Neodiprion lecontei: one gene and its partner. The protein of the gene in region 2 binds, or shares a complex with, the protein of the main gene of each other region. Links are inferred from orthologs where the notes say so. Each region holds a gene or a part of one and is shown on either strand. Other genes may lie near its edges.

The links.
Region 1: the proteins of unextended protein (region 2) and PRL-1 phosphatase are in contact, whole or in part, in a crystal structure (PDB 8CT8), measured with the Drosophila melanogaster proteins. The link is inferred for Neodiprion lecontei from reciprocal best matches to the Drosophila melanogaster genes uex and PRL-1. Residues at the interface, in NP_001104390.2 of Drosophila melanogaster: Leu391, Val422, Thr423, Lys442, Cys445, Glu446, Gln449, Asn450, Pro451, Phe454, Phe456, Asp458, His480, Val482, Asn484, Gly488, Asp489, Pro490, Phe491, Tyr492; in NP_001260487.1 of Drosophila melanogaster: Asp32, Ile33, Thr34, Ile35, Asn36, His37, Asp77, Gly78, Cys109, Ala111, Leu113, Gly114, Arg115, Arg142, Arg143, Gly144, Ile146, Asn147, Gln150.

What each region holds. Positions count from the first base shown.
Region 1 is NC_060261.1:13,155,041-13,159,845, reverse strand, and holds the start of PRL-1 phosphatase, read right to left. Parts: upstream 3,050-4,805; 5' UTR 2,900-3,049; intron 1-2,899. UniProt on the Drosophila melanogaster protein: Probable phosphatase. Inhibits growth possibly by negatively regulating Src64B-induced growth. Regulates central nervous system circuit formation and stabilization of synapse-dense terminal arbors.
Region 2 is NC_060262.1:6,544,725-6,549,312, forward strand, and holds the start of unextended protein, read right to left. Parts: upstream 3,049-4,588; 5' UTR 3,015-3,048; coding exon 2,539-3,014; intron 1-2,538. UniProt on the Drosophila melanogaster protein: Probable metal transporter. Acts downstream of PRL-1 and protects the nervous system against olfactory carbon dioxide stimulation.

The DNA.
Region 1 (4,805 bases), on a different chromosome or scaffold from region 2:
AATATAGATTGGCTCTTTTAATTATTAGTACATATTCAATTTTTATGACACTGTTATTCCTCTCTACAGACTCTCTAATAAAACGGCATTGCAAGGAATTTTACAATCCACTTTGGTAAAGTGAGAAATGAAAAAATTATAGTCAGGATTTAAAATGTGAAACTCAAATTTTCGTAACAATATAATACTTATGAAATCATTTGCCACGAGTGTTTTTCCACGAAATTTGTGGGTATAACAATTTTTTCGACCCCGAGAAGACATAGTTTTAATTAACTTAAAGTCAATTGACGTTAATCGCGACTTCGAAGCCTTCGATTCAGCGTTTGTAATTTCAATGCTTTACGTCCAGAGTGCAGCTATGTACAATTAGCCGATAAGTTTAAGCCGTGATAGATAATTGATAAAATACATTCCAGCTTGCGTAGCTACGGAAAGTCAGGTAGGGCGATGCCTACGTCACCGTAAGAAGGCACAAAGGCAGCCAGACAGGAAAGTGTTTCTACTACGTATAATCCAACTCACTGTAAGTCGCCCAGGTGTTTATTGCTTGATGCAGCAGCACGACACCGACGTCCAGTACTGTCGCCGCATACATACCATCCGGAATTTAGGCGGCACATGCCAGGCGTGTCAACAGTATTAATAATGATGATAATGAGTTGGTACGTGCGTCAGAATGAAAGCGAACATCATAATAATCACTCAATTAATAATCATAATAATAACAATGATAATCGTTGGCAACAACCGAATAAGAACAATTGGTAGGGTAGAGCCAATCGATGCGTCGGGCATTCATTGTTTCGATTATTTGTTACCCGGAAATATCGTGCAACCCCGTTACAGTACTCTGTATGTGTCCTATTAACGACCAATATTAATTACCCCAATGCTCAATTGCTTTATGCATATCGGTGGATAATCGTTCAATACTCAATTACTTATTCCGTCTGTGAAATTCAGAACAAACTTACTAAACCATTCAATTTATCCTTTTCCTCGAATCGAAGTACAATTCTACTGTACAAAAAAGAATATATTACGTCATAATGTTGATAAAATCGTGATTTTGGATTTCAAATTTCGAACTCTGATCAATCGTTCTTGAATCTTATCGTTCGTTTATTCTTATCTCGATGAGCGTCAAGTTCGTCCTCGTCGAACAACCGCACAGCAGCAACGTAAAGTTTATTAGAATTGTTAGGTCTAGTGGCTCGGTTTCACAGAAGGCAGATTGCGATAGCATCATCACGATTGATTGGAAATACCAGAGGAATTTATCATGCGTACCTCCAATTGTCGAAATCGAGAATATATAAGATACATAGATTATCCGGCCGGCGAGCGATAACCGTTCAACGATTGCGCAATCCCAGGCAACTCTAACTGCGATACCTAAAGGCATTGCAGCACATTTCAGTGTGACAATAACAATAATAACAACAACAATAATAATAGTAACAGCAATTTCGCTAGCAAATATTTACGTAGTGCAATAGGTGTTTATAATTGCTTGTGGCGAAACCGGTGAAAACATCAAACCAAGTATTTCTTTGTGTTACAAATATTACAGAACTAATATATTTTAATACTAGAATTAATTATAGACAGACGCAGCGACAGATAGTCTTCGATAGCTTTTCAACGAGTTTTTCAAACAAACGACAATTCGACCGATGCGCGTCTGTTTGCCTCGGGTAGTTGTTTACAGTCTGATTCTCACACCGAATTCTGTTGTCTGTAAATGTGGCGATGCCACAAAGAATTTTTTTCAACGAGACTGAACTTATCGTTAGTAACGTTAACGTAACGAAACATCAGGGGAAAAATCGTTACGGTGCAATATCTGGATGTCTTTCCAGGAGTTGGCTTTTAAAAATATGAGCATGTTCTGTTTATCACGGTTTATCAAAATTCAGACGTTCCTGAAGATGCGGAGTAACGATTTCTTCGAAACATGCATTGTTACATTGACGTTACTAACTTCATCCTCGTTTTTTCAACGCATCCAATGATGTATTATGACGACATAGGTATACGTGCATTGGATGCTTAGAAACTACATGTCGCGTTATTTACCGCCATCAGGGAATTTCTTGTGTAAACTATATCAGAGGATATAATAAATTTAAACCACAATAATCGTATCAACGTATGAGAAAAAAGAAGAAAAATACTATCTATGAACTTTTAAACAGTCGGCCGTGTGCTTGTACAGAGAAACCAATACACCGCAAACTATTTATACATATAATAATCGTATAGCATGTAGGTGTGAGTAGGAAGACGAGGCTTGCTGTGCCTGACGAGACGGCGGAATATAATGGGGAAAGAAACAAAGTGGGCTCCTCGTCTCTGGTCGTCTCTCGAGGGAGGGCAATGAACGACGATCGAACGAAACGGACGTGCAGATGCAGGCGTTTGTCCCTAACTCCATTCGTCCGCTTCTTATCCGCGGGGGAACGAGTTTGCCGGTGAAAAAAATGGGGAAAACCCGATTCGAGGACGAATGAACGGACGAGTGAATACTTATTCGTACGCGATTTTATCGTGAGCTGTATACGTGGGGGAGACAGGACGCTGGCGACGAGACAAACCGTTGTGAATTTTAGAAACCCACTCGCTCCGTTCGATTTCACGGCGTGCATCGATGAGAGCAGCAAGGAGAGGAACAAGACGGCACGCGTAAAATCGATTTCTACTTATACGAATACGCTTTGTATATGTATTGTAGTATATATGCATGCGCGCGCGCGCGCGCGTGTTTGTGTACGCGTTTGTACACATGCAAGATCGTACGTAAAATAATTGTTGCACGGCACGTTGTGTACGGTGCAAAATGGCTAATAAAGAGAGAATGAAAGATAGGAGGATGGTTCAGGTGGTTAGTACTCACCTCAATAGCCATACACATTGAATATGGAAGGAACGGTAAGGTGTCCGTTATTAAAAACGAAACTCGAAAAATTGACAACGTATACTATTAACTCGCACGCGACCGTACGCCGAAAGAGCCCGTGGACAACTAACTAAAATGGCTGAACCAACCCGACGACGGCCATGAGTCAACGAGTCTGGTGTGATATACACTATGCGCCAATATCGATGCGCGCGAGACGTGGCGGCAGGGCGATGTCAGGATTTTAGATGAATATTTTATAACGTCACAGAGGAGTAATTGGAAGCTATATTGATTCCAAACATTTTGCGCGTATGTATGTTTGTATGTGTGTCAAAGTGCCCTGAGAATATGGTCATAGCGTAGGGATTACAATGTTGATTCGAATTTTCGCGCCGTCAGAATGCCCTTAGAACATGGCGGAATGAAATAAAAATCATCAAACTGTCTCCTTTGGTTATCCCTACTCTGTACCAACCTTATTTTTAGAACATATACTACTGGAAGTGCCATCCCATCGACCTTGCAAACATTGCGGCCGAGGTGAAGAGAGAAAATATATATTCGAGTTCTTCCGTCTCTTTTACTCTGCATTTGATTGGCTGAGGGGATGCGTATCGGCCAATCAAGTGTAGAGCGAGAGAGACAGATTATAACCATAATGTTATACCTCTTTATCACTCCTTCGCTACACTTTCTGTACCATAGACGTATAGAGATAGACTGCGCGGTCCGTGCTCCGATCTGAGGCCCTAATTAAAAAGAGAAAGCAACAGCGGGAGCTGACCTCTTTCTTGCACGGTCGAAAGAGTGAGGAGAAACTGGCAGACGGTGAAAGCAATAAGCACAAACGGGGAGGTATATTTGTACTTATTCCCCCGCCACATCACCGATTAGAGTGAGAGATCGGATCACGCTGTTGGTTTCTCTTTCTAATTAGGGCTTCAGCTCGGTGGACGGCCCGCGCAGTCTATCTCTATAAGTCTAACGCACGAAGCTACGTCCAGTAATGTATGCTCTAAGGTACCAAAGTACCGACCACGTTTCTATGTATAGGTATACACATTGTTCACGGAGAAAACGACACAACTTCGCGCAGGTTGGGCGTAGTGGGGTCTCGAACTACTCAGTGATGTGCTAAATCATCGTACAAATCGTACAATTTGGTCCCTGCGTAAAATACGCTTTGGTCCCTACGCTCTGTAAATGGAATTGGTGAAACACTTCGAATATTGCACGGTCATTGCATAGTAAACATATTTAATAACAGCTACACAACAAACTTGTTTCATCGATCACTAATAATAAAATGTTCCAAATCACGTGTGAGTCGTATTATGTACACGGGCTCTCCGTCTGGCTTCAGCCAGGTTTAGCCAACTATAAGGCCCATTTGGCGGCTTAAAAGAAGTAAATAAGGCCTTCCGGTAAACGGGACCTAACCGAATCAGAGAAAATTGTGGCAAGTGCTGTGCCGTTTTTTCCGTGAACAAGATGTAGAAAACTTGAAGCGCTTTTCACTGGCTACATTTGGTGCACATTGAGTGCAATTTTCCTAGGGTTTTGCTTATGTGATTAGTTGAAAGCTGGGAAAATTGTACTCACTGCACACGTAATGCAGTCAGTGAAAAACGCTATTAAGCCGCTATTTTGTACTCAAATGCCGAGAAGATAATTCGATTGGTTGCAGAGCGTTCGAATTCGATGAACCAATCAAAATTCCAAAAATGATGGATCGATTATCAAAATAGAGCATGGACTGTTCATTCTCTATACTTTTTATAGTACGCCTAATGAAAGCAGAACACACGTGTAGCCAATCTCAATTTTTATCGGACTCCGATGGTCCTGCAGGTAAGAAAGAGATAGGTAGATTATTGGGAGCACATACGTTCTGTCTCCT
Region 2 (4,588 bases):
AAATTTGCGTGTGTGGAATGCACAACGTTTCATCGAAATTCGGTTAATCTACTTACTTCATTAAACATTAACCTACTGTTTGGCTATTATTTAAGAATCGTCGATGGCGTTCAATGAAGTCTTTAATGAAAACATTTTCCTTTTTCAGATTCGTTAATTTGTCGTCTATTAAAATCGAAGTGCCGAACGAAGAAATTCAATCTCTCGTTACAAATTACATTTCATTCATCTCGAGTTTTCACTAAAAGCCGAAAACGCATACAAAGCCTGTAACGCCAAGTATTTCGTTAGAATTTCGTAGACAGATGTAAAACTTTGAATTTCAAATTTCAGTTTCTTCGGAAATTCGTTAAAATTCACTAGCTCACTCATTTATTGTGAATTAATGCGACCACCACGTACGATTATTGCAAGCTTCGTCTTCGCACTTTGCAGCTTATCTCTACTCGATGGGCGTGACCATAAATTAATTCATAATAAAATTACTGAAATCATTTCAACGAAAGTAACAATTGTTATCCTCCATTTTCTGGGCCAGATATCTCTAGACGCTGCGTAGTAATTCTATTCTACAGAGTGAACGATCGAGGGGGAAACAGAAAATCGATCCAAAGTCTTGGTCTGGCTGCATCAAACAGCACGGAGAATTTCCCCTTCTGGATAGTGATTTCGGTCGGTAAAGTAGAACTGGGCGACGGGTGGCCTCAAAGTTGAGAACGAGGAGGAAGAAAAAGAAAAAAGAAGTGGACCGTTAATACCGGGAGTTTACTGCGCCACAGAGAAACGATGAAGAAGAATTCTCGCTCATTCGCGTTGTTGGTTAAACTGAAATCGTATTAGATTATAACACGTGCGTTGCAGCCATGCATTTATACGTCGTGAAATGCAGTAACGTGTACATAATATTCATATATACGATGATGTTGATAGATGTTGAGTTACAAATAAAACAAGTCTGGGGCGTTCGATTTCGCAATTAAACAAGTTAAGAATATAACAGCGACCACGAATGCACGCTACAATCTCTATATTAATGGTTATTTGTCTCATCGTTGACGTCTACGGGTCGATATTTATAATCGACGACTCGGATATTCCTTGCACGTAAATAAACAATGGGTGATACAATAACGTAACAAGGATTTTTACACCATCGTTTGAATCAACCGCCCATACCATGGTTAGAACGAAGTTGGGACGTGATAAATTTCTGAGGTTACTTGCAATATCCGAAACGTTACGTTATGCAATACTCAGAGACGTTTATTTACATCGTTTTTGGTATAAGCGTGGGTGAAAAAAATTTCTACAGGATTAGACGCGCGTTACATAAATTCGGGAGAGATTGGTAGCCTCCTCTTGTTGTGTTATGCTGCAGATTTCTTCTTGACCGACCGATGTTGTCCTGATTACATTTCTTCGAATTTGTTGTCAGTCGCTGATGTTGATTGGAAATCGAGTTTCCATCTCGCGCATGAGCTGCTACCGAATATCACGGCCAAATTCTAATCGTAATTATAGCTTTATCTCAAACAGCTACGAAGCTCTTAATGCATCGTCAACGTTTTTATGTCAGATGGGGAACGAAAAATGAAAATGAATCAAAGCTTTAAAAAAAAACTGTGACCGAAGTGAAACAAGTTTTGAATTTAATTGAACGAATATCGGAAGAACAAACTTTATAATAACACCCTCGAATGGAAAAAAAACATTCGATTAGTCCAATTTTTAAATATTTATCAGATCGTTTTGTCCAGGAACGAATCATCTAGAAACTGTGTACTAAGAATGAATTTCACGTTCGTCACAAAATCATTTATTATGCAAAATGATTATTGCAGGTTGCTGTTGATAACTTGTTAATTAATGATTAATATAATTGAAGATTGATTTCAGACAATTTTTAAAGAATCTACTCGTAAATCGTGAATCAGCCCTGACACATCAGAAACGATTTTTTCATCCAACCAACGGAGCAACAAAGCAACATTTCCGAAAAGATAAATAACTGAAACAATCTCAATTGAATTCAGATGGATAAAATTCTGTTCAACTTTCATAAAGCTTGATATTGTCACGTTCTGTGACGCATTTTTAAACTCTGCCGAATTTGACAATTGGAAACGTAATTCACGGCGGTTCGATTCTGAAACGAACAATCGACGATCGAAGAGTAGAAAAAGAGGAGAAAAAAAAACTGACTCGCGTCATCGGTTTTAAAACTGATTCAAAACTGCCAACGTAACAGTTTAATCGCAGCCACACTCGGAGCGGCATAAACTGCTGATAAGTGTCTGTAATCTCTCGATGGATGAATATTCGTCGGAAATGGAGAGGCGACAGCTAGCCGAGATATGAAACGAGTGGTAGCGTATAACGTGAAATTAACAAATCGAATGTCCCGCTACGCAGCGGCGGTTTTTTTCTAAGAAAAATACGACGACGAGATATAAAACGAAAGAGAGACGGAGAGTGGATATGCCACATTGGCATTCGCCGATTTATGATGAAGAATAAATAAAGCGCATGTTTACTTACGATCGGTCGTATAATATGACGGAATAATCCGCGCCCAGGTTAACCCAAACATGTTGAAGGCGTGATTTCCGTTGGAGGCAAAAATAGACGGTCGTAACCTTAAATTGTTCGGGTTGTTGATAGTCGATCTCGTAAATAGCACGGGTTCCATCACGGTCGAGTGACACTTGACGTAGCTGGTTATTCCCATTGTAATTAACCTCACAGTAACTTTGGTCGAGTGACAACACCAGGGGAAAATCTTCGGTAATACCGGCGCCAGTAACCTCAATATAGAAAAGTGAATTACCGGGCTTTGGATTTGCTACCGAAAACTCCGACGGCAACGACGATTCGTCGACTAATTTCACCGAGGCGATGCTAACCGGCTTGCCGGACACTCCGAGCGCGTTGCCGCTCGCTAAGTGAAATACTCCGATAGTAATAAATAGAATAAAAGTTGTCCGAGCTCCCGAGTTGATAACATTTTGCGCCATCGTGCGAACACGGGTAACGAGCAGCAACTTCACCTCGGTAAGGATTAACGCATATACTTATAACCTTCGTTTCGGACGGTGCGCCTGCGTAGCTGGCCTTTACGCATCGTCCAGAAAACATCGACCTATTCCGTCTACCTATCTCTCTCTCTCTCGGCCCCTTGACGCCCGGCCACCCTTGACGCCTTTGACCGAGGATGCCGGTGGTCATTATCATCGCCGTGTTAAGCCCACGTTCAAAACACGACGACTGGATCGAAGCGATTGATTGCTGGAACTACTCGATAGCGATGCGATACGAATTAACGTGTGTCTGTGTATAGTTTCAGAGTCGCAGCGATTTGAAAATCTTATTCTTATCCGGCGGACGCCAGTTGCTGATAATCCAATCTTACCGACGGAGTTACTTCCATGGTAATGCAGCTCGCTCGGTAAGGCGCGAATTCAGGGGATATTGACGGTTAGTGTTCATGAATTTCTGCAGGTGTCCGGTGCGCGAATAATGGACCTCGATTTTTCAGTATAAATTCAGGTAAATAAATATCTCATATTTCTATACCGTCGCAGCAGCAATTTCATGTGGTAAATATGTTCTACATTATCTGCTGTGGTGGTAAGTACGGATCGGTGGCAGAAATTTATTTATCGCTAACCGATGATTTCATGAATTTATTTTTTTGCAAGTAGAGTTATTTGGTTTGCGGTTTGGTTTCTACAAACTTTAAAGAAATGAACTTACTTCAAGCATCAGATAATTTCGTTGATTCAGCGTGTTTAAGGTGAAATTTTTATTGCGGAAAATCACGCCGTTATAAAGTTATTTTTCAGCTAGTAGCTGTAAAAAATATTCGATTTCCTCACTTATTGTCTACTTTCAAGGATGGTACAGACATAAATTTCAATTTACAGTAGCTAATATATTTTACTGCTGAAGCAAGTAATGATATATTTCTTACAGTCTAGATTGTCAACACGCAGCGATTCCAAGAATCATATCTTGATGGCAAAAATAAGCTAATGCAAACTGTTGAGATCCGAAGAACATTTAAGATGACGATCGATGATCGTAGATTTTACTGACCATTTCAATCAAAGTTGCACAACATCCAACCCGAAGGGCAAACGCAGTTCAGGTCATTTCTATTTGGCCTAGAAAGTGGATGGATCCGAAATCCAAATCCGATCTGGCATCGTAATATTTCGGTGTAAGGTTGACACTGTCTCTGGGAAGCGAAGTTACCGATATCTTCACGACCGGATTCACCGAAGATCAAGCCTCTCAATCCTCCGATGAACTCAAATTTTCAGATCGAAAAATATGTTCTTTCTCACTGTAATGTGAAAATCAATTCTATTCTAAGTGACGGAGAATTGAATTATTTCATCACCTACAGAGCCATTCGTTTTGATGAAAAAAAAAAATGTTGTAATCGAAGGCAAGATTCTCGAAGAATTTTCCGCGGGTATCACAATTCTCCCTGCTAATGCGAAAGAAGTGATGAAAACTTGCGAAGAAAAATCAGCTACATTTGGATAAAATGTTATTTTTCAATATTTGCAAATGTGTGCGTAAC